4 linked regions of the Arabidopsis thaliana genome follow. The protein of the gene in region 1 purifies or fractionates together with the protein of each later gene. This does not show direct contact. Each region holds a gene or a part of one and is shown in the gene's direction. Other genes may lie near its edges. The genes, in order: PI, CHR4, CHR17 and CHR11.

Evidence for each region.
Region 2: the proteins of PI (region 1) and CHR4 purify together in Arabidopsis thaliana (affinity purification with mass spectrometry, with the first as the bait; one study listed by BioGRID). This does not show direct contact.
Region 3: the proteins of PI (region 1) and CHR17 purify together in Arabidopsis thaliana (affinity purification with mass spectrometry, with the first as the bait; one study listed by BioGRID). This does not show direct contact.
Region 4: the proteins of PI (region 1) and CHR11 purify together in Arabidopsis thaliana (affinity purification with mass spectrometry, with the first as the bait; one study listed by BioGRID). This does not show direct contact.

Annotation. Positions count from the first base shown.
Region 1 is NC_003076.8:6,826,135-6,832,398, forward strand, and holds PI (K-box region and MADS-box transcription factor family protein), read left to right. Parts: upstream 1-2,769; 5' UTR 2,770-3,068; coding exon 3,069-3,323; intron 3,324-4,320; coding exon 4,321-4,382; intron 4,383-4,502; coding exon 4,503-4,602; coding exon of another isoform or gene 4,603-4,638; exon of another isoform or gene 4,639-4,674; coding exon 4,675-4,704; intron 4,705-4,792; coding exon 4,793-4,837; intron 4,838-4,939; coding exon 4,940-5,074; 3' UTR 5,075-5,381; downstream 5,382-6,264. Other genes in the region: BCB (blue-copper-binding protein), read left to right, coding at 492-663, 856-1,274. UniProt on the Arabidopsis thaliana protein: Probable transcription factor involved in the genetic control of flower development. Is required for normal development of petals and stamens in the wild-type flower.
Region 2 is NC_003076.8:18,089,878-18,096,097, reverse strand, and holds the start of CHR4 (chromatin remodeling 4), read left to right. Parts: upstream 1-2,190; 5' UTR 2,191-2,910; intron 2,911-3,817; 5' UTR 3,818-3,935; coding exon 3,936-4,154; intron 4,155-4,248; coding exon 4,249-4,350; intron 4,351-4,449; coding exon 4,450-5,205; intron 5,206-5,837; coding exon 5,838-5,933; intron 5,934-6,064; coding exon 6,065-6,220. Other genes in the region: AT5G44820 (Nucleotide-diphospho-sugar transferase family protein), read left to right, coding at 1-303. UniProt on the Arabidopsis thaliana protein: Chromatin-remodeling protein that binds DNA through histones and regulates gene transcription. May specifically recognize and bind trimethylated 'Lys-27' (H3K27me3) and non-methylated 'Lys-4' of histone H3. Probable chromatin remodeling factor.
Region 3 is NC_003076.8:6,195,735-6,204,800, reverse strand, and holds CHR17 (chromatin remodeling factor17), read left to right. Parts: upstream 1-2,634; 5' UTR 2,635-2,742; coding exon 2,743-2,955; intron 2,956-3,239; coding exon 3,240-3,371; intron 3,372-3,448; coding exon 3,449-3,555; intron 3,556-3,647; coding exon 3,648-3,760; intron 3,761-3,981; coding exon 3,982-4,079; intron 4,080-4,171; coding exon 4,172-4,351; intron 4,352-4,434; coding exon 4,435-4,656; intron 4,657-4,866; coding exon 4,867-5,001; intron 5,002-5,070; coding exon 5,071-5,353; intron 5,354-5,435; coding exon 5,436-5,509; intron 5,510-5,620; coding exon 5,621-5,841; intron 5,842-5,917; coding exon 5,918-6,005; intron 6,006-6,081; coding exon 6,082-6,175; intron 6,176-6,258; coding exon 6,259-6,447; intron 6,448-6,537; coding exon 6,538-6,572; intron 6,573-6,687; coding exon 6,688-6,764; intron 6,765-6,860; coding exon 6,861-6,950; intron 6,951-7,048; coding exon 7,049-7,118; intron 7,119-7,212; coding exon 7,213-7,267; intron 7,268-7,339; and 13 more. Other genes in the region: AT5G18630 (alpha/beta-Hydrolases superfamily protein), read right to left, coding at 25-219, 306-470, 551-623, 706-773, 871-918, 1,008-1,073, 1,306-1,385, 1,764-1,836. UniProt on the Arabidopsis thaliana protein: Possesses intrinsic ATP-dependent nucleosome-remodeling activity. Constitutes the catalytic subunit of several complexes capable of forming ordered nucleosome arrays on chromatin. Involved in the formation of nucleosome distribution patterns.
Region 4 is NC_003074.8:1,938,566-1,947,613, forward strand, and holds CHR11 (chromatin-remodeling protein 11), read left to right. Parts: upstream 1-2,407; 5' UTR 2,408-2,500; coding exon 2,501-2,698; intron 2,699-2,905; coding exon 2,906-3,037; intron 3,038-3,132; coding exon 3,133-3,239; intron 3,240-3,350; coding exon 3,351-3,463; intron 3,464-3,666; coding exon 3,667-3,764; intron 3,765-3,854; coding exon 3,855-4,034; intron 4,035-4,116; coding exon 4,117-4,338; intron 4,339-4,534; coding exon 4,535-4,669; intron 4,670-4,751; coding exon 4,752-5,034; intron 5,035-5,111; coding exon 5,112-5,185; intron 5,186-5,295; coding exon 5,296-5,516; intron 5,517-5,592; coding exon 5,593-5,680; intron 5,681-5,758; coding exon 5,759-5,852; intron 5,853-5,928; coding exon 5,929-6,123; intron 6,124-6,204; coding exon 6,205-6,239; intron 6,240-6,348; coding exon 6,349-6,425; intron 6,426-6,523; coding exon 6,524-6,613; intron 6,614-6,711; coding exon 6,712-6,781; intron 6,782-6,887; coding exon 6,888-6,942; intron 6,943-7,032; and 12 more. Other genes in the region: AT3G06390 (Uncharacterized protein family (UPF0497)), read right to left, coding at 348-560, 654-780, 883-1,142; AT3G06410 (Zinc finger C-x8-C-x5-C-x3-H type family protein), read right to left, coding at 8,906-9,048. UniProt on the Arabidopsis thaliana protein: Possesses intrinsic ATP-dependent nucleosome-remodeling activity. Constitutes the catalytic subunit of several complexes capable of forming ordered nucleosome arrays on chromatin. Involved in the formation of nucleosome distribution patterns.

The DNA of each region.
Region 1 (6,264 bases):
ATCCACATTTAACACTTTGTTTTTTCTAACATTAGTATGCTACTATTCTTCGATGCCTTAATATCGGATGGTTATTATTAGGTAGTTATATTTAGTCTGAACACTAAATTTTATAATCATTACCCAAAAAGTAATTAGTCACGTTTTTTACTTGATCTAAATTTACAAATGTACAATGTCTTTACGCGCTAAAAATAACAATTGTGGACAAAAAAAACTTAGCAGACAAAATTGACCACAAGTGATAATATCTAAATTTGGATTTGTTCAACGACACAACACGTAACGCGTCTTCCCGTATCTTGCGTATGACTCCTTGAGAGCCTCTCTTTAATTGTCCTATAAATATAAGTCTCTCTTGCAAGACTTTTGAAACCACAACAAACACAAAAATCAAAAGGGGTCATTTACTATCTTTTAAGAGACGACATATATAGTTCTCGACCAAGAAAAGAAAAGGGGGTGACCTGAGTTCTTCAACACATAACATAATGGCCGGAGTTTTCAAAACGGTTACGTTTCTTGTTTTGGTTTTCGCTGCCGTTGTTGTCTTCGCGGAGGACTACGATGTTGGTGATGATACGGAATGGACGAGACCTATGGACCCCGAGTTCTATACTACTTGGGCTACCGGTAAAACTTTCCGTGTAGGCGACGAGCTCGGTGAGTTTTATTGTTCTTATAGCTGAAATATGTCTTTGTTTTTCTTGTTCTTATAACAGTCATAGTTATGGGATCGTGCATGGATCATGTCGGTGTTGTTCTGTCTTTCTTTCTATATTCTTATGAACATATTTTAGCTAAAAAAGGGATTAATTGAGTTTCCACCGACTGATGTTGATATTCTTATTACAGAATTTGATTTCGCTGCTGGGAGGCATGATGTGGCAGTTGTATCAGAAGCTGCATTTGAAAACTGTGAGAAAGAGAAACCCATTAGCCACATGACCGTTCCTCCGGTCAAAATTATGCTAAACACCACTGGACCACAATACTTTATCTGCACCGTCGGTGACCATTGTCGTTTTGGTCAAAAACTTTCCATCACTGTAGTTGCTGCTGGTGCAACTGGAGGTGCTACTCCTGGTGCCGGTGCTACCCCAGCACCTGGATCAACCCCAAGTACTGGAGGAACCACTCCTCCCACTGCGGGTGGGACCACAACACCTTCAGGCTCTAGCGGAACCACTACTCCAGCTGGAAATGCCGCTTCCTCATTAGGTGGTGCTACTTTTCTGGTCGCTTTTGTTTCTGCTGTTGTTGCTCTCTTTTGAGTCACACTCGAAACCTAGTTATGTATTTGTTTTACCTTACTCTCCTTATTTAAATAGTCATGTATTTGATTATTTGTGAGAATAAGGACTTGTTTTCAAGTCATTATAAACGTCTTATACTTGTGATTAGTATTGAGTTTCAATATATGATTATTCGGTTGCAAAATAAAGAGTGGGTTTCAATATCATTGAGATTACTACTATATATTACCATATTTCATGAAAATTAGTCATCTTCTTCATCCAATTTGTCTAGTTTTCATGTATAATTAGACAAAATTTGCCTTCTCAATATTTTCAATCAACGAGTAAACATTACCTGATTGTGAACCGAAGTTAGAATAATATTAAAAAGACATAGGTTATCTACTAATTCAATATACCAACAATATGGTATTTTTGTTTCAGTGGATACGTTTCTCACCTGAATTCACAACTTTTTTTTTTTTTTTTTTTTTTTTTTGTGTGTGGAGATTTTTAATCTCTGGCTTTATAGTTTGATAATCGAGAAAATGCCAAAAAGTATGCCCGTACTAAGTACAAAACATAAGACCACAAAATTCCACAATAAATTGACACGTGTCTGATCGACGTGAATCAAGAAAACCATAAACTTGTTTTGTTTTCAACAACCAAAGACATTTTCCCCATAACAATGTAAGCATGATAAAGTCTAATGGTTATACCAAGGTCTTTGGTAATTACACTGCTCCTTTTTCTTTTTTTTTTTTCCTTTTTCTAAACCATCTGAATTTAACTTTATTTTATTTACTTCATTTGTCAATGTGATATCTTCAACTTTCAATAATTTAATATGTTTGATTTTTTAGTGTAGCTACGATATTCGATAAGACCTATATATGACATAGAGTTCTTGAAATAGCAAGTCTTGGTTTTGCCAAAGTAAGAACCTGTAAAAATAAAAGCAATTCTTTACAGAGATTTTTGGTTTTAAATCTACAAAGTTGCAAAACTCGTTGCTTTCATTTGATTTAATGGTTAGTTTTCGAGATAGACAAAATGGGAAATTTATTTGCAAAATGATTTAGTTGCAAAATCATTGGGACACTATCTTATTTCACGTTTTATATAATTGATGACATAATAAGATAGTTTCCCAAAGTAATTAATTGATGATATATGTGGTTGGATAAGAAATTATGGTATTATCATGTTTGCCTCTCAAATTTAAATTTAATTAATTATATACATACACGAGTAAGCTAAATAAAAGTTTGACCACATTTCATATGAAGAATTTTATCTTTCCAGATATCTAGAATTTGTTTTCTCTACACAGTTCATTGAAGAAAACATAGTACGGAAGAGACCAGAGGTTAATTAAACGACACTTTAACCTATCACGAGAGAGACTGAGATGATCAAATCAAATGAAAGAAAATAAACATCAATCACATGCAAAGAGTGTTCATTAAGCAAAATCACTAAGTTTGTTTTTACTTTATTTTATTACGTTACTTCAAGTTTTTTTTTTATCTTCTTGGTACTGTAAAAAAAGGAGAGAAAATAGAGTTGGCTATGTGTAATAAGCGAACCAAAAGCAAGCCTTCCATGACTGTGCCCTCAAGAAAGTAGCTTTGTTTTCAATCCCAAACTGTCAAAGTCTCTCTTCACCTCAAGATTAATCAAAACATTTCTCTCTCTATCTCATCAATGTTACTTTAAAACCAATGCTCCTCTTCTTGTTCTTCATATAAACCACATATCCTCTCCTCCATATCTTAACAATTTCATAGCAAACCCTAAAATTGAGAAAGAGATAGAGAGAGAAAGATGGGTAGAGGAAAGATCGAGATAAAGAGGATAGAGAACGCAAACAACAGAGTGGTGACGTTCTCAAAGAGGAGGAATGGATTGGTGAAGAAGGCTAAAGAGATCACAGTTCTTTGTGATGCAAAAGTTGCCCTCATAATCTTTGCAAGTAATGGTAAGATGATTGATTACTGTTGTCCTTCCATGGATCTTGGTGCTATGTTGGACCAATACCAGAAGTTATCTGGCAAGAAACTATGGGATGCTAAGCATGAGGTAATTTTGCTCTCTTTTTAATCTAAAGTTTCTTTGTCTCAAAAATATTCCATGGCCAAAATCATGTAATAAGTTTTCAATTTCTTTACCAAAAACATGTCAAAAGACCCTTGAATCTTTAACCCTAGATGCAGATCTACTATAGTGTTTTGTCTCAAAAACATATATTCTGAGCTAGATATCATGAAATTGGTTATTTAATTTTCTTTTCCTAAAATATGTCAAAGAGAAAGAAAAATACTCTAACCCTAGATGCAGATCTACAAAGGTTTCTTTGTGTATGTAGCCTAACATGCGTCTTTATTGATTTTCTTGTACTCAACAAGACATGGAGCCACAAAACATGGAAGTTATTCTTTTCTTTTGTTCCTGCTTAATTTGTATAATCTAGAGTATATCTAACCAACTGTGTTTTGAAACCATCAAGACCAAATCTTATGCGAATCAGATCCGTAGTTTATGGAGTTATTAATTGAGAGAAAAATCTGGGATGTGATATGTATCTGGGAATGAGAATTTCTGATTAGTACACTGATTTTACGTTTCTGGCTTTCAAAACTAATTGAAAACTTGAAAATTGCTTTTGAGTTTTGAGTATCCTTTTTAAATTAAATTTTGATGCAAATATTATATGTATTATTAATTAGCTCTGACAAATGTAGGTTTAGTTCTCACAAATGAGATATATCTCTATAGGGTAATAAGCATACAGAGGCTTTTATACCATTTAAGTCACTGCCTAGTAGTATTTGTGCATGTATATCTGTGTATGCTTTTACATATACTAATATCAATATATATACATATATGTGTGTCAGTGTGTGTGTGTGTGTTATATGCTTTGCATGAAACATGAACATAGAGAGACTTGTCATGGATTGCTTCTTTGTATATCTATATTTATGTTTAGTTTGTACAGATTACTAAGTATTTTTTTTGTTTGATCTAAATTCTTAAAACCTTTATTGCTCATCTAATACATATTTTTTGTCTCCAGAACCTTAGCAATGAGATTGATAGGATCAAGAAAGAGAATGATAGCTTACAACTGGAGCTCAGGTCATTATTCTTCACCCTTCATTGCCATATCTTTACCCTAGTATAGTATATATATAAAACATTTGATTATAATAATGTTGAAATATCAAATTGAGAAGTTCATGGAAATTGTGACTACAGGCATTTGAAGGGAGAAGATATACAGTCTCTCAACTTGAAAAATCTGATGGCTGTCGAGCACGCCATTGAACATGGCCTCGACAAAGTCCGAGACCACCAGGTATGTATACATTTCTACATACATTCATACACATGAATATATTTAACTTCTTATTTGGTCTGCTTGGCACAGATGGAGATCCTTATATCAAAGAGGAGAAATGTGAGCATATAACTAATCTTATAGTACTCTACTTCTTAGCTTTCGGATTGAAATATGTATTAATGGTTGCATCATTCTTTCTTAACAGGAGAAGATGATGGCGGAGGAGCAACGGCAACTCACTTTCCAGCTGGTATACATATAATGAATCTTCATGCATTTATAAGTTTTAATAATGATTTGGTTTGAAACTATTAGTATGTTTATGTAAAGATATGGTTTTTGGAAATTGCAGCAACAACAGGAGATGGCTATAGCAAGCAACGCAAGAGGAATGATGATGAGAGATCATGATGGGCAGTTTGGATATAGAGTGCAACCGATTCAGCCAAATCTTCAGGAAAAGATTATGTCTTTGGTCATCGATTGATCATCGAGATTTTATAATCTCATCCTGATCAACTCCTATCTATAATATCGTGGTCTTTAGTTTGTCTTTATCAATCTGTGTGTCTTAATCTCGAGCAACATATATACTCGCTATCAGACTTTTTACTTAAGCTATATGTGTGTTGTTTGCTTATGACCTCTATGTATTGGTTGTGTTGTGTGCTTAAACGTTTCGAACTAATTGATCTGTGTGAAACTTATTATTCTGTGATAAGCTATTTGTGATAAAGAAGAAGATCCTTTTCTCTTTCTAAAAGTTAGAATTGTTCTCTAACTAATTTGGAGAGAAAAAAAAAAGAAAAAAAATTGGAGTAAAATAAAAAGGTAAACGTAAAATGTTATACAATATTTTGTCTGGATACCCTTCAATAATTTTACTTTGAATAAATATGTCTTCATACAAAGAGGTTATGGTCGTAAAAATTAAAAAAATGTGGTTGAACTTTATATCTTCCCCCTTCAAAAGCCTGTATTAACAACCTTTTTTCTTAAGAAACTAAAATCTAAAAAATGTAGAAATCAGCCTTGGCCGCTCTTCTTTAAGGCTAAAGAGAATGGTGTTTATGTAGGTTATTGGGTTCTGACTAGTGACTATATTTAACGATATATGGGCCCTTATCCATTGTTGACCCATAAATACGTTTTAGTTAACATGTACAAAGACAACTTTGTAATCACTCAACCAATATTCTGCAGTTTAATCTTGCTTTCATAAAATTTCAATATTCTTTAGCAAAAAAAAAAAAAAAAAAAAACAATTTCAATATTGATGGTGACAGAGAAAATTCATCCTCAAAACATTGCTCCTAATTAATTGATATATGAGACGTGTAGAGGTTTGAAAATTTACCATGGCTTTTCGTGATAAATTGGTGACACAGAAAATCGCCAAAATAGTGATGGTAACTTGGTCAGGTGGCTACCTCTTAACCTCCAAATGACTGATTGGAGAGGAAATATTTTGGTTAATCCCCTAACAAAATGATGATGAATAATTTTAAAAATACAGTTTTAACAAAATAAAAATAAAATTATGAATATGTGTGATGATAAACATTAATAACCTGACAAACCCTTATCCGCCAACTAATGTATAATGAATGGATAAACCCATAGGGTCCAATTGGACAACAACTTTCTAACTTTTTGTTCTCTCAAAATAAAATAAAG
Region 2 (6,220 bases), about 11 Mb from region 1:
TCTCGTCTAGATTATCCAGACTTGCATGATCAAGATGTGTTCAACAGAATCAAGCATGAGCCTTTTATCTCAGAGATTGGAATCCAAATGAGATTCTTTGATACAGTTTACTTTGGTGGGTTTTGTCAAACGAGCAGAGACATAAACTTGGTTTGCACAATGCATGCTAATTGTTGTATTGGTTTGGACAAGAAGCTTCATGATCTGAATCTTGTCCTTGATGATTGGAGAAAGTACCTGTCTTTGTCAGAACCAGTGCAGAACACGACGTGGAGTGTTCCTATGAAGTGTTTGGAAGATTGAGATTTCCTTCTTTCTTTGTTTTGTTGAGATTTGGATGAAAAGTATATTTAAAAATGAAGAGTTTATTGTTCGTGCAAGGAATATTCTTTAGCTCTCTAATCTAATCAAATATTTTTTTTGATGGTTAATTTTCTCTGTTTGTTAATGTCATTTTTTGTTTTCCGAGCCGAATGCTAGAAAGTACTAAAATAATCTTCTAGACTTTTAGTGTTTTTGGTTTGAAATGTTAATGTATTGAATAAATTGTGTTGTGAAATGATACGATTTTTGTTTCAAACTTTTTCTGAAATTTCTCAAAGTTTTTGATCTTATTTTCAATTACCGAAGCACAAGTTGTAAAAACGTATATATTTTTTCTTTTGAATATAATTTGACATTACATTAAAAAAAAGAAAGAAATGATACGATTTTGATTTTGGTAATATGAAAAATGATCAATGTAGTTTCATAAGTTCTATCAACGTAGATTTTGTAGTCATTTACCCGATTTGTAGATTTAAGTAGTTATTGGTTTGGTCAGTTATAATTTTGGTTTGGGCCTAGATTCGTTACAAGTTTTTTAAATTTAGATGAGATGGGCTGCCGGAGAAGCCCAACACAACATAGGTGGCTTGCCAATTTGCCCAGATGCTTTCGAGTGTAGGTTATATAAGTTTATCATATCTCCATTGGATTAAAAGTAGGCAAGATTTAAACAAAGTGATTCATCAATAATGATATGATATGTGTCATTCATTTACAAATTATGTAACACATAATAGATATTTTGTACCCTAAAATTTTGAAATTTATTGTACATAAATTTTAGAAAATCTGTTGGACTGTGACTAGTTCTTCAACTTATAGAGAGTTGAGTGTGTTTATAATCACATACTGCCTCTTTAAAAAACGTTAACCAAGTCGAAACTCGAATATGGTACTACCACACATGACAAAATAGAAAAAACACTTGAATGTTTACCAAGTAGTACTTGGTCCATTGGCCCAAAAAAAATGAGAATTTGTGCTCCTTTGAAAGGAGTTTTCAACTGCTAGACCCAACCCAAAAGAATGTACGATTAGGCACATTTTCCATAATTGATGTAATGTAAAGAAACACTTGAATTTTAAGTTTTACATATAATATTTACATTTAATTCATCTTCCTCATGAATATGTTGTTCAATTATCAAAGAACCTACAAAGATACAGTATTATAACTATAAGATCACCAAAGAAGAAAACAATCATTTGAATAACAAAAACAGTAAAACACCATATAATAAAACCGTGTTCTAGATACAAATGTAAACCATAGTATCTCACCTTGCTTATCGATTCATCTTTGTAAAAAAAACAAAAACAAATGTGTTCAACTTGGTTTGCAAAAAACAAATAACACAAGTACACAACCATCCATCCAATAACACAATCACAATATTTGTTTCCCAACATTTATGCAACCTTATTTTTAGTGGACACTAACCATAGAAGAACAAATTTCAGTTGTAGTGTTACAAAGTCCATTAAAATTACGCGTTATCAATTACAAAACCACATCTGTTTTTTTTTTTTTTAAACACTTTAAATTTTGTGTCAGATAAAATGAATATATGTTATGACAGCAATCACTTTCAAAAGGCCTATCAAATGGGTCCCAAATGTATAATCCTAATGTCAATCACAAGTAACCTAAGTTCGGCCCAAATACCTGATGGTCCACTTTACAATTTTTCATTAAATAAATATTAAGTAAATAAAATAACAGTAAAAAAAAAGAGTTATTCAGTCTGAAGAACATTAAATTAAGGTTATTAACGTCAAAGAAAAGATAATCATTTTCTCTGGTGGCGGCGTTTTAAAAACATAGATTTGAAATTTTTAACTTTATTCTATAAAACTAAAAAGCTCTCTGTCTAGTAGTATCTAAACGAATTTAACTAAAACCAGCTAAAAACAAGAAGCATAAAAATAATATCAAAGTAGAAACTAAAGGATCTAATAAGTAAGACAAAATTCGAAATTAAGATCCATGGCGGATTTTTGTCTCTTCTCTCATTGGATCGCACTTGACACAAATGATGGTTCGAGACATAACAGCAGAGAAGGGTCCGGTCCGAACCGAAACGGAGGAAGAAAGCAAAAAGGCAAGACCTTTGTTGTTGGGTTGTTGATAAAGAGAGAGAGAGGGGGACACGTGTAGTGAAAAGAGAGGAAGAGAGGTCACTCTCCGTTCCCGGTTCTGTCTCGTGCGGTGCGATTGTTGGGTGCCATGTCAGAGTCCGTTCCCCTATGAGCCCGGCGAATCCGAATCATATGCCTTTCTTTTCGCTATCTCTCTCTCTCTCTCTCTCCCTTTAACCCAAACCCATCTCTCAAAGACTTGACCTTTCTCTCTCTCTATCTCTAATTTATTTATCGTTTCGCGTGTCGCCTTCTCTCTTTCTCTCATTCTCTCTCTCTCTTTCCCTTCGTATCTCTCTCTCGTGAGGCCGTGCCCTAGAAGAAGAAGAAGAAGAAGCCCCTTTCTCCGGGACTTCAATCCCTAACTTCCGTCGCCGGATTTCTCGTCCTTGATTATCGGAGGACTCTTTAACAACTTTATTCCGATTTCAGATTCCCAGATTTGTAAGCTGCTTTCTCCTTTCTGGGTATTTCCTCTTTTTGTATTTGCTTATGTAATTTCGATGATTTATCTTACTTGGTGAGGGGTTTTGATGCTTGTGTAATGTTAATGCTGTTTAATTAAGGACTGATTTAGTGTGATTCGGTTTAATTGAGTTTCTTTGGGGGGGAATTGGGTTTATCTCCAATGAAGCTTTATGTTTAGTGCCAATGTGTGTTGTTTAGCTCTTTTCTCTATTGATTTGTGTGTGAAATTATGTTTGTTTGAGTTTCATTACCAATGGCTGTCTTTACTTGAATCTCAGTGATTCATGAATTCTACCATCTGTCGTTGATTATTTCAGTTATATAGGATCATTGATCTATGTTTTAGAACTAGTGTATTATTGCCTTAGAGAACACCTGATTTTGAAGTAGAGGAATGTAGTTTGCAGTAGAGGAATGTAATTAAGTATGAATTTAATGGAAGTATTCGTAAGGAGTGAGGGAACGAATCGTTTATTATAAAAGCTGTGTTAAGATTAGATTACTTACTAGGTTTGTGTCTCATCTTTAATTAAGACTTTTGATTACGGATGGTGAGGCTTCTAACGTTATACCACCATTTTTAGGGGTGACATCATTTAGTTTCTTAGCTTCTATAGCTTATATGCTTGGATGACGCTGTTTGATTTCATATCGGTTTAAAAGTGAATGAAATTGTGGTTATGGCCTTATGGTTTGGTACACTGTGCTTTGTCCGATGCTGCATCATTGATTTGAGTTATACTTCATTTAATCTTATCAATTTTTCTGTTCAGTATTTCTGAGCATGTGTACAATTTAAGTATTTAACTACCTCACTGTTGTTTCAGTGTCTCTTGATCTTAGATTATGGTTTACATTACTCGTTTTTTGTTTACAATTTTAGTGTAGAGACAGAGTTTTTTGAAGGCCAGTATTCTTTAGTTACTTCGGTAGCTGTGATTTACACATGAAGGTCTATCCGGTTCTCTATCAAGCATATGGTATGGAAACAGAAGTAGAAAATGAAAGATTCAGGCAGTGAAATGATTAAAAGAGATTGGGTCATGAAGCAGAAACGAAGAAAACTTCCGTCTATACTAGATATATTAGACCAAAAAGTGGATAGTTCTATGGCTTTTGATTCCCCGGAATACACTTCTTCCTCTAAACCAAGTAAGCAGCGGCTTAAGACTGATTCGACTCCTGAAAGGAACTCCTCTAAGAGGAAAGGAAATGATGGGGTAACTTCATTTTATCTTTCTGGTGTTCTTAAAAGTTTGTCTCCTTATTTTATTATATGGTGTTGTTTAATTAATCATTTTTCTTTCCTTACAGAATTATTTTGAATGTGTGATCTGTGACCTTGGTGGTGATTTATTGTGTTGTGATAGTTGTCCTCGGACCTATCATACCGCATGCCTCAATCCACCTCTTAAGGTAAATGATTTTTTTTTTTTCCATGTGTCGTTTGTAGTCGTAGATTCGCAACACCTAAATTTGGGAAACTTGTCTTACTCCTTATCTCGTCTCCTCCAGCGGATTCCAAATGGTAAGTGGATCTGCCCAAAATGTTCCCCAAACAGTGAAGCACTCAAGCCTGTCAATCGTTTAGATGCCATTGCTAAGCGAGCAAGAACAAAAACCAAGAAAAGAAATTCAAAAGCCGGACCAAAGTGCGAAAGAGCTTCTCAGATTTATTGCAGTTCTATAATTTCTGGAGAACAATCTTCAGAGAAAGGGAAATCTATATCGGCCGAAGAGAGCAAATCCACAGGAAAGGAAGTTTATTCTTCCCCGATGGATGGCTGTTCAACTGCTGAGCTTGGTCATGCATCTGCGGATGACCGACCTGATTCATCGTCTCATGGAGAAGATGATTTGGGGAAACCCGTCATACCCACTGCAGATTTACCATCTGATGCAGGATTAACGTTGCTGTCCTGTGAAGATCTCTCCGAATCTAAACTATCAGATACGGAGAAAACTCATGAAGCACCCGTGGAGAAGTTGGAACATGCTTCCAGTGAGATCGTGGAGAACAAGACAGTTGCTGAAATGGAGACTGGAAAAGGTAAAAGGAAAAAACGGAAGCGTGAACTAAATGATGGGGAAAGTCTTGAAAGGTGCAAGACTGATAAGAAACGCGCGAAGAAAAGTTTGTCCAAAGTGGGTTCCAGTTCTCAGACTACCAAATCACCGGAGTCTTCGAAAAAAAAGAAAAAGAAAAATCGTGTGACTTTAAAATCCTTGTCCAAACCTCAGTCCAAGACAGAAACACCAGAAAAAGTGAAGGTATGATTTCCTACTCATGATAGATTTTGTAGACATTCTACTATGCTGATACTAGGGAAATGAATTGTCTGAAACCTTAAAATGTTGCATCCACGCCTTTTTCTTAAGTGTGTTGTAGCACTAAAAAGATATAAAAGAAAAAAAATTCAGAGATCAGAGATTTGGTAGAGTTACAAGATTCAGAATCGTTTCAAGATTGTTTGACACTCTGTATTTAATGTTGAGTATCTTCTGCATTAATGTAAAGAGTCTTTGGTCAATATTGCATGTAGTGTTTCTTGTTCTGTCCTGAAGATTGTGGCTATTTTAAGTTCTTATATAACCAGAGTGACATTTTGTTTTGCTTATCATTTTGCGACTCTTCACAAACTCAATATTGTTTTGCCTGTTTATTAGTATAGTGGTTTCTCACAAGTAGTTATGATACATGTGACTATACCTCTGTTTCGGCAGATGAATTATGGATACCTCTTTTAACTGCAGGAGCTTGGAAATAGTTTGATTTTTTTTCTTTAGGAATTTAGAGTTGAAATTTCTTGATGGTCCTATTGATTTCTTTTTTTATTCGTTGTTGTTCTTGCATCATCTTTCATTTAGTATATGTTCTTAACCACTTATACGTACTAATGCAGAAGCTTCCCAAGGAGGAACGTCGTGCAGTACGTGCCACTAATAAATCTTCTAGTTGTTTGGAAGATACAAACTCTCTTCCGGTTGGAAACCTCCAGGTATCCATCAAAATAAAAATGTTGTTCCTTCAGAATTATCTATTATGATGCGCCCTCATTTCTGGTGACTCATGTGTTGCTCATGCTTGTTAATATCTCTTTTCATTCTTTTGTTTGTGGTTTCCTAACAGGTTCATCGTGTTTTAGGATGCCGAATCCAAGGTCTGACTAAAACCTCGCTGTGTAGTGCTCTTTCAGATGACTTGTGTTCGGATAATTTACAAGCTACTGACCAACGGGATAGCTTAGTACAAGATACGAATGCTGAATTAGTAGTTGCTGAGGAC
Region 3 (9,066 bases), 630 kb from region 1:
AGTGCACTGAGAAAGTGATGTTACCTCTGTTGGGAAGTGGTGGTATGTTTTTTGAGGGAAATGGTAATAGTAAGGAGGCAGATGAGGAACCATATCACGGTCATGCGTGATCCGGAAGGTATTGGGCACAAGCAAACTGTAATAAGATGCAAAAGCGGCATTCCCAACACGAGGTTGCCCAAATGTCATAACCTGTACGTTTTCTTCACCTTCATTTACCTGCGATTTGTATCCAATATAAGCCATTAACAACTCAAAGGACAAAACAATAAGATAAAAAAAAAATTCAATGCAAGGATGATTACAACTAGGTCTAGACCACAAAAGGAAGCCATGGCTCCTCCCATTGAATGACCGGTCACTATGATGTTGATGTTCGCCCCGTAGACTTTTTTCACTCGTGTTATTGCATCCAAAACCGCAGGCCGTAAAGTTGTATTGTGATAAGCACTGTAAAAGCCATGGTGCACCTGCCAATGTGGATAACTATTACAAATTCCACCGTACTACAAGACCAACTCAATGACAAATACTTGTTGTTAAAGTGTACCATTGCATCTGGCATGTCAGGGTAATTCAGATCGAGCTGTTTCCAGAACAAGTCTGAGACCCAATTTTGTATGCTGCACAAGTTTTGGATTGATTAAGCATTAACCAAGTTTATGCGAAGGAGTAGCTTTTAGATTACAATGACTAGAATAAAACCTGTGTTCTTGAGTTCCCCGAAATGCAATAATGATAGCATTCAAATCCTTAGCCACCCCAACATACGCCTGTTGTTACAAGTTACATGTACTGATATTAATAATTGTTCAATGAAGAAACATCATGAGTTCATGACCAGCTGTAGCTTATGATATCAGAGCAGACCTGTAAGCAGTGTTCAACGTCAAATATGACCTCTATTACTTCGAAATCCTGCACCATCCTAACAAACGTTAGAGCTCAACTCAATAATTGCGGCTTCAAAGTTCAAACAGTGATCTGCTTCAACATGTGTTTTTTACCTTTGTCAAACCATTGCATCTTTCGCACGTCCAAGTGAAGAGTTTTGTCAAATCAGACTCATAGACCTGCATACATCTTACAAACTTGATTCACTCATCTTATGTACGTTATCAGCATCATCTCTTTTCTCTAGTAGTGCAAATAATGATAAATGAAAATATGAAGAGGACAAGTGTAATTTCTTCTCACTTGCAGAACACTAGATATAAATGACATTCGTTCTACAGGGTATTACGTTTTGAAGCTAAATCATTATCAAAGGTCTTTTACTACTTCACTAATCTGCCATTAACTTACCGCAGAGGCATACTCCACAAGCGTGACGGCAAGCGTATGGTTGTAAACAGGTCGATCATCATCGCTCTTCAACTTGAGAACTGCAGTTAGAAGAAAGAAGCTAACATAAATCCACTTGCTTCAGTCTTAACTCCTTCGTAGCCTCACAACTCATACCAAGAACATGAAATTGTCGAAAACATAAAGCTTTGAAATCAATATTTTGACCTTCATGGTTCCTTATGTATATGATGATGCTACAAGGATTATGAATTGATTTGTTCCAAACATGATAGAACATGTAATTAGGCCTTAATGAAAAATCACTGTAGCCAGATTAAATTTCCAATTTCCCAAGCACTTCACATTACACAGAAAGTTTAAAATCTTAATTAAGCTCAGAGAGACTCAGGAGAATAAAAAAACTGGAAGTCCCAATAAAGGAAACAGACATAGAATCATTATAGAAGTTGCATTACCACCTCTACCATATGAAGATGAAACAAGAAAAGTAAAAACTGCCAGCAAGAACAACAATCTCTTTTGTCCCATGTTCTGCAAGAAGACAATAAACACAACCACATCATCCTCTGTTCATCAACCAATGTTAAGGGCAAAATTGAGCTAAAACAAAGCAGAATTCGGAAGCAAATTAGCCAAAAATATACCTTATAAAACGAGACTCACGAAACCCAAACTAATGAGGATTAGGACAAAACCCGAAAGAGATTTCAGCAACCAAAAGTCCCAGATAAATTAAACTGAGGATCCAAAGCCTAAATTGGACTTCTTTTACAACAATTCGGAAATTTCCGACGATGATCGGAGATTATTCCCGGCAAGAAAATTATACGGCGAGCTTATATATTATTATATAGAAGTCGTGATCTTGCGAAACAGAAGCTAATAGAAGAAAAGAAACGGCGATTAAAATACGAATATTCGGTTTTTTTTTTCTTAACTTCCACTTTCATCCTCTATACGCAAAGGTGCATGAGACAAGCGTGTAGGCTCTTTCAAAGGGTATTATTGGAATTTTAGGTGTGTAGCGTGTCGCAACTTCAAGTGCTGAGGTGTCAGATACGTGATTCGGGCGGATAAATGGATAAGGCCGTTCCGTTATAAGAACGAGAAGTTGACCTTTTTGACTTTCGCTTTCTTCTAAGTTTAACTTCGAGCCCATGGGCCTTTAAAGCCCGAATTCCAAGGCGGGAATTTCCGAAACTCTTACTTCTCAAGTGGCGGGAGAATCTTTATAAGTCAAGCCAACGTGGCACATCTCAGCCGTAGATTTGATTTCTCGAAATCAACGGGGTAAAATAGAAGCTACGGTCGTTTCAAACGTCGGGTTTGTTGCTTTTAATTTCACTTTTGTTTATTTACTAACCAAAGCAAAAAAAACTCAGGAACCCTCGATTCGATCTCTCAGACGAAATCAGGATTCGTAGAGGCGCGTCGATGGCTAGAGCTTCGAAGCGGGAAGTTTCTTCAGACGAGGCTTACTCGTCGGAGGAAGAGGAGCAAGTTAACGATCAGGCCAATGTGGAAGAAGATGATGACGAGCTCGAGGCCGTCGCTCGCTCTGCGGGCTCTGACGAGGAAGATGTTGCGCCCGACGAAGCACCTGTCTCTGACGACGAGGTTGTCCCCGTAGAAGATGACGCTGAAGAGGTATGTCTTCGTTTCTGTTTTCCACTCTTCGATTTACATTCGCATGTCGGCTGTGAATTCGGGGATTGCTGTATTTGGAAATCTGAATGTATTCTAAGTAAGATTAGGGTTTCCTTTGAGCGTATATTCGATATTTGGGTGTCTTTTGGTTTCGACTCTCTTTGTTTGAAGGTTTATGCTTAGAAGTGCTTACAATGATGGGTGGTCGCTCATTATGATGGTACATTCATGTGACTCGTGAGGATATTTGGTCACTCTTTTCATAATTTGATGGTTATATGTAGGACGAAGAAGACGAGGAGAAAGCTGAGATCAGCAAACGTGAGAAGGCTAGACTCAAAGAAATGCAGAAGATGAAGAAGCAGAAAATTCAGCAAATCTTAGACTCCCAAAATGCTTCCATAGATGCTGATATGGTAAGTTAGTAAATAACTGAGCTGCTTGTCTTTAGTATCCAGAGGTATTGAAATAACTCAATCATTCCATTTATTAGAACAATAAAGGAAAGGGGAGGATAAAGTATCTTCTGCAGCAAACTGAGTTATTTGCACATTTTGCTAAAAGTGACCCGTCTCCGTCCCAGAAGAAGGGAAAAGGAAGGTGTGTTGAGTGCAACTTATCTCAAAATAAATTGTGGTTATTCATATTAAGTTTCCAGAAATATAATTTATTGGGTTTCACTTTATCGTCAGGGGTCGCCATTCTTCCAAACTAACCGAGGAAGAGGAAGATGAAGAGTGTTTAAAAGAAGAAGAGGGTGGTATAGTTGGATCTGGAGGCACACGGTTGCTCACTCAGCCCGCTTGTAAGTACCTTTGTTTTGCTCCTAATATCTTGATATAGCGTATGTTTGCTCAAGTCCTATTGCGAGTCGAAGTTATTATAGGATTTGACACCTTATGCCCACTTCTTTGATTGGTAGAGTTGTTTGATATATTCTTCAGTTGCGAGCTCACAATTTCTAGGTAGGACTGCATAAATTCTGTAGAATTTAGAGATCTGATCTTCATACTCTTCATATTGCAGGTATTCAGGGGAAGTTAAGAGATTACCAATTAGCTGGTTTAAACTGGCTCATTCGGCTGTATGAGAACGGCATAAATGGGATTCTTGCAGATGAAATGGTAAACCACTAATTATCTTAGCATATAATAAGATTTTTCAGCTCTCTAATGTTATCTGATGCTAATCTTTATTGTTTTTGTTCATGGTCTAGGGTCTGGGGAAGACGCTTCAAACCATTTCTTTGTTGGCTTACCTGCATGAGTACAGGGGAATTAATGGCCCTCATATGGTAGTTGCTCCAAAATCAACCCTTGGTAACTGGATGAATGAAATTCGCCGATTTTGTCCTGTCCTGCGTGCTGTGAAATTTCTCGGTAATCCCGAGGAAAGAGTAAGTCATAATAGCTCTTACATTTGAATGGTTGCATTTATATGCACCTGGCAGGATTCTGAGATATATTTTAAATAATGCAGAGACATATTCGTGAAGAACTGCTAGTTGCAGGGAAATTCGACATTTGTGTAACAAGCTTTGAGATGGCTATCAAAGAGAAGACAACATTGCGCCGTTTTAGCTGGCGATATATAATCATTGATGAAGCACATCGAATTAAAAATGAGAATTCACTCCTTTCGAAAACCATGAGACTTTTCAGCACCAACTATCGGCTTCTTATCACGGGAACCCCCCTTCAGGTACTTGTCAAATCTTTTGATCTATAATTGTTTAGATCCTTCAATTTTTCTGTCAGATTGCTTCTGCCTATGTTGAAACTACTTTCTTGCTTGAGTCTGTTGAACTTAGTTTTTTTTTCTTTTCGTGTTCCTTAGACATGCTTCTTACTATCTTCTGTACTTGATTTGCTTGAGTTAATATTGTATTCATTTCATATGTTTCTACTACAGAATAATCTCCATGAATTGTGGGCCCTTCTCAATTTTCTTCTCCCTGAGGTTTTTAGTTCAGCAGAAACTTTTGACGAGTGGTTTCAAATTTCTGGTGAAAACGACCAGCAAGAAGTTGTTCAACAACTTCACAAGGTATGTACTCATATTTTATCAAGGTTATTCTCTAAGTTCTTATGCTAATCATTTACCTCATCTTTGTAGGTTCTGCGACCATTTCTTCTTCGGAGGTTAAAATCAGATGTAGAGAAAGGCTTACCTCCAAAAAAGGAGACAATACTCAAAGTTGGCATGTCTCAAATGCAAAAACAGTACTACAAGGCTTTACTGCAGAAGGATCTTGAAGTGGTTAATGGTGGTGGAGAACGCAAACGTCTGTTGAACATAGCAATGCAATTGCGGAAATGCTGCAATCACCCTTATCTCTTCCAGGGTGCGGAGCCTGGTCCCCCATATACTACAGGAGATCACCTTGTAACAAACGCAGGTAAGATTTACATTACAAGTAGATCATTCAGAAATGTGGCAATTGGCTTAGTTATTTTCTCTTTACATGTTCTTGTTTCTAGGTAAGATGGTTCTCTTAGATAAATTGCTACCTAAGTTGAAGGATCGAGATTCAAGGGTTCTGATATTTTCTCAGGTATTCATTAACGCAAACAAATAATTGTTCCTATCTTTGATTCCTTTTTTCTGAGTGATATCTTTCTTGGTTCTTTGTGCTTATTCCAACGATTTTGCTCATCTGTATCAGATGACAAGGCTTTTGGATATTCTCGAGGATTACCTAATGTATCGTGGTTACCAGTACTGCCGTATTGATGGAAATACTGGTGGTGACGAACGAGATGCTTCCATAGAAGCCTATAACAAGCCAGGAAGTGAGAAATTCGTTTTCTTGTTATCCACTAGAGCTGGAGGACTTGGTATCAATCTTGCTACTGCAGATGTTGTGATCCTCTATGATAGTGACTGGTAAGGCTCTTTTTGTGTCCATTGTAATTTATGAGTGTTTTCTTTTATGCCTAATGAGGTGGGTGGATTATGGCAGGAACCCTCAAGTTGACTTGCAAGCTCAGGATCGTGCACATAGGATTGGTCAAAAAAAAGAAGTTCAAGTGTTCCGGTTCTGCACCGAGGTTACTCTTGTACCCATGTGTATGAAGTAAGAATGACCTGGAGAACTTGAACTAATTCTGCATTGGTCTTATGCAGAATGCTATTGAGGCTAAAGTCATTGAGAGAGCTTACAAGAAGTTGGCACTTGATGCTCTGGTTATTCAGCAAGGGAGATTGGCAGAACAGAAAAGTAAGTGCTTGTGTACTGAGGCTGTTAGATGTATTGGATTTTCTCTTACATATATATACTGATTTCTTTTCTTTGCTTTCCAGCTGTTAATAAGGATGAGTTGCTTCAAATGGTGAGATATGGTGCTGAAATGGTGTTTAGTTCTAAAGATAGCACAATTACGGATGAGGATATTGACAGAATCATTGCCAAAGGAGAAGAGGCAACGGCTGAACTTGATGCCAAGATGAAGAAATTTACTGAAGATGCAATACAGTTTAAAATGGATGACAGTAAGTGTGCTATTTATCCCTTTTTCCAATGGTAACTCCCTTGCATGGGTAATGGGATGTCCAAACAAGATAGTTTTTGGTTTGTTGCAGGTGCTGACTTTTATGATTTTGACGATGACAACAAGGTATTCTTGGATAATTAATTGAATGATTGAAGGAAAGGTTTAACGCATACTGTGGTTATGCTCTGCAGTTTTTCGAATATCGTTTCCTGATTTCTTTTTTAATTTTGTTTGGTAGGATGAGAGCAAGGTGGATTTTAAAAAGATTGTGAGTGAAAATTGGAATGATCCACCAAAAAGAGAGAGAAAGCGCAAGTAAATATTACTTCTACTTTTTCATTACGTGGTCTATCCTGTCTTCCTAAACAATATCTAACTTCAACAATTTACTTTTCTCTACCCACCCTTTAGCTACTCTGAAGTTGAATACTTCAAGCAAACGTTGCGACAAGGTGCTCCAGCTAAACCTAAAGAGCCTAGAATTCCACGCATGCCCCAATTGTGAGTACCTCAATTGTCTCCACTCTGCATTTAGCCTTTTCCCTGTCTTATTTATAGTACTTTTATCGTAAAAATCTAATTTCTTGTCCATCCTGCAGGCATGATTTTCAGTTCTTTAACATTCAGAGGCTGACTGAGCTGTATGAAAAAGAAGTGCGATACCTTATGGTGGGAATAACAAGTTTATCAACATGTTATGTAATTTATGCAGCTTTTGTGTCTGATTAGTTCTGAATAGCAATTTGTTTCACTCTGGTTTCAGCAAGCACATCAGAAAACTCAAATGAAAGACACAATTGAGGTTGATGAACCTGAAGGTCTTTCTCAGTCTTTGCCCTCTTTTCTTACATTATTTTACTGAATCTATTACTTAAGAAATAATTTTGCAGAAGTTGGAGATCCCTTAACTGCTGAAGAAGTGGAAGAAAAGGAGCTATTGCTGGAAGAGGCAAGCCAAACCATTCGACCTTACTGTGGGTTGACATTTGTTTTTGATGGTTTTTTTATAATTTAATGGAGTTGATATTTTTTAGGGTTTCTCAACATGGAGCAGAAGAGACTTCAATGCCTTCATTAGGGCTTGTGAGAAGTATGGCCGGAACGACATAAAGAGTATTGCCTCTGAGATGGAAGGGAAAACTGAGGAAGAGGTTGAACGATATGCTCAAGTTTTCCAAGTGCGATATAAAGAGCTGAATGGTTAGTAACTTTAGATTGTTAAGTAAAGTTAATGAGTGTTTGCAGTGCGACAAAGTTGGATATTTATCCTAAGTAAGCTCTGCCTCTTGTTTTCCTTTGTAAAAATTGTAGATTACGACAGAATCATCAAGAATATTGAGAGAGGGGAAGCAAGAATCTCTAGGAAAGATGAAATCATGAAAGCTATTGGGAAGAAACTGGATCGCTACAGAAACCCGTGGCTGGAACTGAAGATTCAATATGGTCAGAACAAAGGGAAGCTGTACAATGAAGAGTGCGACCGTTTCATGGTATGACATCTATTTATCAAACTCTTTGTTGAGATTTCATTGTTATTGTTTTATTCTAATATGATATTGACCCGATGAACTTGTGATTATCAGATATGCATGGTCCATAAACTTGGGTATGGAAACTGGGATGAGCTAAAGGCAGCGTTTCGGACATCCCCCTTGTTTAGGTTTGACTGGTTTGTAAAATCCCGCACAACTCAGGAACTTGCAAGGAGATGTGACACACTAATCAGGTTGATTGAGAAAGAGAATCAAGAATTTGATGAGAGAGAGAGGCAAGCCCGAAAAGAGAAGAAGCTTTCAAAGGTGAGGACTTGAAGGAACATTTTTTTTTTTTTGTGCGAAGAACATTTTAAGTTTACATTTTCATTTACTGATGAGATGCTGTGGAATTGTTTCTCATGATCTGTTCTACAACTTGTTTCAGAGTGCAACGCCATCAAAACGACCTTCGGGTAGGCAAGCAAATGAGAGCCCTTCATCTCTTCTGAAGAAACGAAAGCAGCTGTCAATGGATGATTATGTGAGCTCGGTACTCAAAATCATTTCCAAAACATAAAAAGAGTTTTTCATTTTACTGGTTAATTCATGCAAAGCAGACAGACCATCTATTTCTGATCCTAACTAAAAAAAAACTTTATGTCTCTGCAGGGAAAGCGTAGGAAATAAGAAGGCTTGTGTTGAATCCATCACTAAGTAATCAGAAAGATTTATGATCACTTCTAGGTTTGATTCCGAATCGGAGAATTAGTTAGAAGAAGCTCCTTAGAGACAAGGATCTAATATTTTGTACCCGCAAGCATCACTGCATTGTCTCCGACTTCTCTTATTTCTTCAACGTGTATTTTACTCTATTTTGTTTGTAGAAATATTCACCACATTCCTAGTAGTGCGTTTTTAGTAAATCTCAAATCAACTTTTGTGGTCGGATTTGAACAAAACATAACTCTCTCGTCTCTTCTCATGTTGTCACAACTTCCCAATTGAGTGTGACAAATGTAGATTTGTAGATGATAAGAGAAGTCTTTCAAAGATAGATTTTTTTTCTTCTTTTCCTTCTGTCTGTAGACTCGAAACCTGAATCCATACACAATGAGACATTAAATAGTACAGAAAAATTATAA
Region 4 (9,048 bases), on another chromosome or scaffold:
CAAGGTTTGGTTCGGATGAGTTTTGTCCTGAGACGATGACTCCGTGTTTCTTGCAACAAGTCTTGATGTGAGCAAGCAATGTCTCAGGGCTCGAGAGAGATTTCAGTGATTGGTATATGAAGAGTTTTCTTGAATCTTAATTTGTTGTATATGAAGACCGAATTTTGGATAAAGAAGTTACATATTAGTATATTACGCGACAAGAGATACACGAATGCAACTTCGTACTGTATATAGAAACGCATGCTTTTACATTAATATAACATAAACAAAACAAATCAAGACACAGACAAACACGTGTGAACAAATACACAGTACAGGGAAAGGATGGATTTATAAGCTTTTGTTCATGTTCTCTTGGAGAGTGCTGACCAGATGGATAAAACTAGAAGAAGAAGTGAAGCAAATAGAGATAAGGCAAGCGAAGTTGCGATGTAACGACAAAACTTGTCGTAGACATTACAGATCTTGTTCCACCCAACTTCTTCGTTTCCTTTCAACGCTATGTACGCAACTCCTCCCGCCGTTCCCGTTGCAGACGCCAAAATCCCCAGCATCACCTGTTCATATATACATATTCCGGAATTATTACTTAAAACACCCTAATTAACATGGTATATGGAAGTTTCAAAGTTCCTTGTAAAACAAGTTACCATGTCTAACGAGGCTAGGTAAATGGAGAACTGTGCAGTGAACTCAGGTTTCAAGAGTAGAGAGATGGAGACAAGTGTTGATATGAGCGCATAGAAACTAGCTACCACGAGAGCAACCACGAAGTATCTGCATAGATATATAGCCAATTTAACACATTAAGTTTAAACTAGAAAACATTCCATGATTATGATCAAACATGGAGGAATTTAATTAATTAAAGAGACAAACATGAAAGCGGGCGAGTCATTGAACTCGGCGGAGACAGGAGCCGGAGACGAAACTCCAGGGAGCTGAGTCATCTCTGTCTGGTCGCTAGTCACCATTACTATAAGAGCAGTCAGAGTGGCGGAGAAAAGCAGAACTCTTGTTATAATGTCTATTTTACGACAATCTAGGAAACTGGCGGCTGATGAGGGTGGTGGTGTAGCCGACGCGGGAATCGGTTCAGATTTGCCAGTTTCAGGGTCAGGGTTCTCAGTAGACGCCATCAGATGATTCTATAACTCTTTTGTGGATTAGGTTGTGGTTAAGTTTGGACTGTGAGTTATGAAGTTGGCCGCTACATGAGATTATTTGTGAGTATATATATATAGATAGTCCCGGTGATGAGTTGTAGTTATTACCCACACGCCAAGAAACAAATTTATATTTATTTACACTATTCACTAATGTATATATACAGGAACATGAATATCAATTCATTTAATTTCTAGCTTGCATTTTTCATTGTTTAAAATTTCGAAATAGTTTTTGGAAAATTCACTAGATGTTGTAGTTTTATTTCAACGTTAACATATAATGTTTGTTACAACAAATTTTGCATGCATATCTATTTTTGATTAATAGAAAAATTAATATATTTCTATAGGTATAAGTTATGGATAATGTAGATATATACAATGGGAATGTGTTAGGCCAACCCCGGGAAGGTTGGTGAGGAAATTGGGCGACGGTAATCAAAAACAAAATACAAAAAAGGAGAGTAAAGAACAGTAGGAGTGGTTAACCAATCATCTGCATGAAAAAGGTAATTTTATACATGCTCTTAGGTATCACTTTGCTTTCTGCTTGTGGCTGCAAATCATGTAAATGGATATCTTATTTTATGTAAAAACATTAAACTGCAAGAAACAAATGTCCCAGTAGCATGACCACTTCAGCACTTCTCAAACATATTATAATGTTTTAACATGGATAAAGCTATTTCAGATACTAATCCAGTCGAAATAGAGTAGTTTTGTCTTAGCAAAATCACCAAACTTTATCTCTTGATACCAATACAGAGTGACTGCACAAGTCTGAGAACAACACAAAAAAAGTCAGACCTAACAGTAATAATATATATGAACTCATCATGATTTTTATTTCATATCTTAATAATACCTAACTGGTTTTAGTAAATCCAAATATATAAAATTAGAGATAGCTTTAACAAATTGGGGGCGATGATCAATCACAAAGATTAAAAATAGTGTAACTGGAGAATCTTTCTCGAGCAGCTCCAGCATAGTAATAAGTTGGGGAAAATATCGGGCTTGAAAGTGGGTCTTATGGGTCAGTCAGGCCCAACTATGATTAAACAAAGCCCAAATCGCGAATGTTCCAAAACAACTCTCTTGCTCAGGTGGCGGGTAATTAATTACTAATTCCCCGTTCGATGAAGCGACTAGTTACATCGTAGCCATATATTTATTCAGCTTAATCAACGGTTACAAATTACCCTGAAGCTTCGGTCGTTTTGCAATTTGTATCTAAAGTTTCACTTTTTTTTTAAAATCTTTATTTTACTTTCTCACAAGCGAAGCGAACCCTCGATCTCAAGGCGAAAGCAGATTTCGTAGCTTCCATGGCGAGAAATTCGAATTCCGATGAGGCTTTCTCGTCAGAGGAGGAAGAAGAGCGGGTTAAGGATAATGAAGAAGAAGATGAGGAGGAGCTCGAGGCTGTTGCTCGTTCTTCTGGCTCCGACGATGACGAAGTAGCCGCCGCCGACGAATCACCAGTCTCCGACGGAGAGGCTGCTCCCGTAGAAGATGATTACGAGGTAGCTGCAGGCTAATTTCGTTTTGATGGCTGTGATTTTTGAAATCTCAGTGAACTGCATCTTTTTTGTACTTGGAAAGTTGAAATTTCATTTAATGCAATGGATTCGGCGTTCGCGTCTTCCTTCGTTTGTTAGTTTTAGTCGAATTTTTGTTGAGTGAAAGTTCATTGAATGTCTGCGCATGGTGGCTCATTGTGGTATAAGCAGGACGAAGAAGATGAGGAAAAAGCTGAAATCAGCAAACGTGAGAAAGCCAGACTTAAAGAGATGCAGAAGTTGAAGAAGCAGAAGATTCAAGAGATGCTGGAGTCGCAGAATGCTTCCATTGACGCGGATATGGTGCGTTGTTTGAACTATATATTTCAGGTTTTTAGCTACTTTTCGTTCTCGTGCTTTTAAGTTCTGACGATTCTGAATCATTCCATGTGTTTTAGAACAATAAGGGAAAAGGGAGACTGAAGTATCTTCTGCAGCAAACTGAGTTATTTGCCCACTTTGCTAAAAGTGATGGATCTTCTTCTCAGAAGAAGGCAAAAGGAAGGTGTGTTAGATGCAATTTTTTCCTAAAATATCGGTTCATCATTGCTTCTAGCTTCAGAGTAAATATGATGAGCCAGGCCCTGATTTATGTGGTTTTAACTTCTACCTTCAGGGGACGTCATGCTTCCAAAATAACTGAAGAGGAGGAAGACGAAGAGTATCTAAAGGAAGAAGAGGATGGCTTAACTGGATCTGGAAACACACGGTTACTCACACAGCCCTCTTGTAAGTACCTGTATTTTGCTCTTTAGTCTAGGATTACTGTATATTAATCGTCTCTCTAGTCTCGAGCAACAAGTACAATATGATTGACATCTCCGTCCATTTGCGTAACCATACATATTTTTGTGACCTCACAGTTAGTATGTAGTATAGCGTAAATTACTGGGAAAGCTTGAGATTCATCTATTTTTCTTCTCAATCGACAGGTATTCAAGGGAAGATGAGAGATTACCAATTAGCTGGTTTGAACTGGCTCATTCGTCTTTATGAGAATGGCATAAATGGAATTCTTGCTGATGAAATGGTAAATAATTCTCCCCCAACGATCCAAGCAGAATAAGTTCTCTATATTCTGTCATGCTAATCATGAAACTTTTTTTTCCCTGTGGTCTAGGGTCTGGGGAAGACGCTTCAAACGATTTCTTTGTTGGCATATCTTCATGAATACAGGGGAATCAATGGTCCCCATATGGTGGTTGCTCCAAAATCAACACTTGGTAATTGGATGAACGAAATTCGCCGGTTTTGTCCTGTCCTACGTGCTGTGAAGTTCCTTGGTAATCCTGAGGAGAGGGTAAGTCATGAGCTGTCTGCCATTTCAGAATTTCATGTAAACGTTTATCCCAGGATTCTGAAATGTCTGCTAACTGATGCAGAGACATATTCGAGAAGACCTGCTAGTTGCTGGGAAATTTGATATTTGTGTCACAAGCTTTGAGATGGCCATCAAAGAGAAGACAGCACTTCGTCGGTTTAGCTGGCGTTATATTATCATTGATGAAGCGCATCGAATCAAGAACGAGAATTCACTCCTTTCTAAAACCATGAGACTTTTTAGCACCAATTATCGGCTTCTTATCACGGGGACCCCCCTTCAGGTGTTTGCTCTATCTTATTCTTGAATATTTGGACATTGAAGTTTTCTTTGTTAAGTTGCTTCTAATTGAATGTTGAAACAACCTTTCTTGTACGGCTCTGTTTGCACTCTTAACTTTTGCTTTTCCGGGCACTTTTAATATTTACCGTATAATGACTGTGTAGCCTGCTGTACTCATATTGTCCTCATATATGCAGAATAATCTCCATGAACTGTGGGCTCTTCTAAATTTTCTTCTGCCTGAGATTTTTAGTTCAGCAGAGACTTTTGATGAATGGTTTCAAATTTCTGGTGAGAATGACCAGCAAGAAGTTGTGCAACAACTGCACAAGGTATGGATGCACCCATTCCTTGCATTGAGTTTATTCTGTTCTGTGTGAGTCGTAGGTTAATTGCTTTCATGTATCTTTTTAGGTTCTTCGACCATTTCTTCTTCGAAGACTAAAGTCAGATGTTGAGAAAGGTTTGCCACCGAAGAAGGAGACCATACTTAAAGTTGGTATGTCTCAGATGCAAAAGCAATACTACAAGGCTTTACTGCAGAAGGATCTTGAAGCGGTTAATGCTGGTGGAGAACGCAAACGTCTGCTAAACATTGCAATGCAACTGCGTAAATGCTGCAATCACCCCTATCTCTTCCAGGGTGCAGAACCTGGTCCCCCATATACCACAGGAGATCACCTTATAACAAATGCTGGTAAGGCTAGAAATAAACTAGATCCTTCAGATTTCTGTGGAAGTTTTTTATGAAGCATCTCTATATTGTTATTTTAGGTAAGATGGTTCTCTTGGATAAATTGCTTCCTAAGTTGAAAGAACGTGATTCAAGGGTGCTGATATTTTCTCAGGTAAACGCTAATACAGAACAGCTGGATATAATGGTTTCTTACAGTTCATCTTCTCTTTTTCCTTTGTCTATGTAAAGTCTGAGCCTTATTCTTTTCTTTCCACATGTCAGATGACAAGACTTTTGGATATTCTTGAGGACTATTTAATGTATCGTGGTTACTTGTATTGCCGTATTGATGGAAACACTGGTGGTGACGAACGAGATGCCTCCATAGAAGCCTACAACAAGCCAGGAAGTGAGAAATTTGTTTTCTTGTTATCTACTAGAGCTGGAGGGCTTGGTATCAATCTTGCTACTGCAGATGTTGTGATCCTTTACGATAGTGATTGGTAAGTCTCTCATCATTGTCCACTGTAGTTTATGAACTTTCTCTTCACGTTTGACGAGTCTGGCATATTCTGGCAGGAACCCACAAGTCGACTTGCAAGCTCAGGATCGTGCCCATAGGATTGGTCAAAAAAAAGAAGTTCAAGTGTTTCGATTCTGCACTGAGGTTGGTCTCCTCTCCGTGAATTTCAAGTTAAAACAGCCATGAGAGGTTTAAAATTAATTATGTGTTGTTTGTTTACAGTCTGCTATTGAGGAGAAAGTGATTGAAAGAGCTTACAAGAAGTTAGCACTTGATGCTCTGGTTATTCAACAAGGGAGATTGGCAGAACAGAAAAGTAAGTGCGTTATACAGTGATTGCTTTATGCATTGGTTCATCTCTGACAGAATTGGTATTTATCTTAACTATGCAGCTGTCAATAAGGATGAGTTGCTTCAAATGGTAAGATATGGTGCTGAGATGGTGTTCAGTTCTAAAGATAGCACAATCACAGACGAGGATATTGATAGAATCATTGCCAAAGGAGAAGAGGCAACAGCTGAACTTGATGCTAAGATGAAGAAATTCACAGAAGATGCTATACAGTTTAAAATGGATGACAGTAAGGGTGTCACTTACCTACTATTTCCCCTATTAGGTTGTGTGAATATTGTAATGTTTTGATAATCTGTTGTTTTATTTGTTGTAGGTGCTGACTTCTATGATTTTGATGATGACAATAAGGTAACTTGTATATTTCTTTGCATAGTCTTAACTTTCATGTCATATCCCTAGCTTTGCTCTGCATTACTGATGATAAAATTTACTAATATATTTGTAAATTTGTTCATAGGATGAAAACAAGCTCGATTTTAAAAAGATTGTAAGCGACAATTGGAATGATCCCCCCAAGCGGGAGAGAAAGCGCAAGTAATGATTACTTCTGTCTTATACATTGTGCAGTCCTATTTTGCCAGTCTTCATATCTAAAAGAAACATCCCTTTTGTTTTATCTACTGTATCTTCAGCTACTCTGAATCTGAGTACTTTAAGCAAACATTGCGGCAAGGTGCTCCAGCTAAACCTAAAGAGCCTAGAATTCCGCGCATGCCCCAGTTGTGAGTACCTCAACAACCTCCATCTCATTGTTGAATGCCTTTTCCCTGTTTTGATGATTTTCTTACACTAGAAATCTAATTTATTGTCCCTCTTTCAGGCACGATTTCCAGTTCTTTAACATTCAGAGATTGACCGAGTTGTATGAAAAGGAAGTACGTTATCTCATGGTAGGCCTCTCTCAAAACGAAACACTTGATTCCTTTGATGTGCTTAAGAGCGAGTTTTTTTGCCTTATAAAAGCAACTTGCTTCTTTTTGTGCTTTTTGGTTTCAGCAAACACATCAGAAAAATCAGTTGAAAGACACAATTGATGTTGAAGAACCAGAAGGTCAAGCTTGTACCCACTTTGTTAACATGTACCCACTTTGTTAACATGTTTTTCAGCAAACCTATTACTGATTAAGAATTTTTTTGTTAGAAGGTGGGGATCCCTTAACTACTGAAGAAGTAGAAGAAAAGGAGGGATTATTGGAGGAGGCAAGTGAATATGTTTGATGTTAGAGTGGTCTTAGACATTTGATTTGGTAGGCTTTAATTAATTTTTTGTAATTGTCAATCTCCAGGGTTTCTCAACATGGAGCAGAAGAGATTTTAATACTTTCCTCAGGGCTTGTGAGAAGTATGGCCGCAACGACATAAAAAGCATTGCCTCTGAGATGGAAGGGAAAACAGAGGAAGAAGTTGAAAGATATGCCAAAGTATTTAAAGAGCGGTACAAGGAGCTGAACGGTAAGTAACACCTTTCAATGCTAAGTTATGCAGTGTTTTTACATGTTTCTAAGTAATTCCTACCTCCAAAAAGAGCTTATGCTAAGTAAGTTTATCATCTTTCCCTCTAAATATGTAGACTATGATAGAATCATTAAGAACATTGAGAGGGGAGAGGCAAGGATCTCTAGGAAAGACGAAATCATGAAGGCCATAGGGAAGAAACTGGATCGCTACAGAAACCCTTGGCTGGAACTGAAGATTCAATATGGTCAGAACAAAGGCAAGCTGTACAATGAAGAGTGTGACCGTTTCATGGTATGTCTTTTTCTCGTTTCCCTTTTTGCTGTTCTGTCTCATTAATTATATCATGAAGTTTTTGACTGTTGAGGAACTTTGGTGGTGAAAAACAGATCTGCATGATTCACAAACTTGGTTATGGGAATTGGGATGAGCTAAAGGCAGCATTTAGGACATCGTCTGTGTTCAGGTTTGACTGGTTTGTGAAATCCCGCACGAGTCAGGAACTTGCAAGAAGATGCGACACTCTGATTCGACTGATCGAGAAAGAGAACCAGGAGTTTGATGAAAGAGAGAGGCAAGCCCGCAAAGAGAAGAAGCTCGCGAAGGTAAAATAATGCAATATTTTCATGTATAAGGTTGTATTCTTTTGATTTGATTTCTTTAGGTGGTTAATGCTTTTCTGGTTTTTAATCTTTGAAGAGTGCAACACCATCAAAGCGACCTTTAGGAAGACAAGCAAGTGAGAGTCCTTCATCGACGAAGAAGCGGAAGCACCTGTCGATGAGATGAGATTATGTGTTTACGGATCTGTCGAGTCTTTGTTGTTACATATAGTTAAGCTAATGTTAAAAACATAGCAAATGGATTTCATTCTGCTTTCATGAATGTTTGTCCTGGTTTGACTTGGATTTAATGAAATGACTTAATTATAATTTTGTAGACTTCTCTTCCGTAAAGAAACTGAACAAAAGGATTTGAGGCCATTGGATGGCAACTTAGGCTGAAGCTTAAGCAAAAGTTATGAGTTTCTGAGGGATATATGAACAGACGATTTTTTCCACAATTTATTACTTCTTTGTTCAACGGTTGCATTTTATTTACTTAGAGAGGAGAGATCTGATACTTTTGTGGAAAGAAGATGTACATAGGCATTGTTCGTGCAATGTGCAGTGATTGAATGTAGATGTCATTGGATACAACTTACAAGAACGAGGAAGAGAAAATGTGTACACTATATCCGTTTATGCTTCTTTCTACGTTCGCAGACATTTTAAATTACTCCTCCAGATTCATGAAGGAATAAAAACAGGGGACTTCTGATGAATGTCGCTTGAATAAGGCCATTTATTAGTAATTCGTTATTCAAGAAAAATAAACAAGAGAGGAGAGATGGCCGTATGAGAGAATATATTATATATGGACAAATGGTCAATGACAGAAGCTTTAGTCTCTCTGCTTCCATCAAATCTCAGACCCCAAAAATAATCTTCTTTTCTCTTTTTTTCTTAATGTTGCTTAGTTCATGAAGAATTGAGAATATTTTCCTCTCTTTTTTTTTTTTAACTTGAAGTCTTAGCTTCTATGCTGCCACTGACGCTGGCTGAGTCACCACTCGTCTCAGCTGGCTCAGGACGGCTCAAGCCACTGACCATAGAAGAAACTGCAGGAGTCACAGCCTCTTTGGTGGGTTCATTGCTAGAGC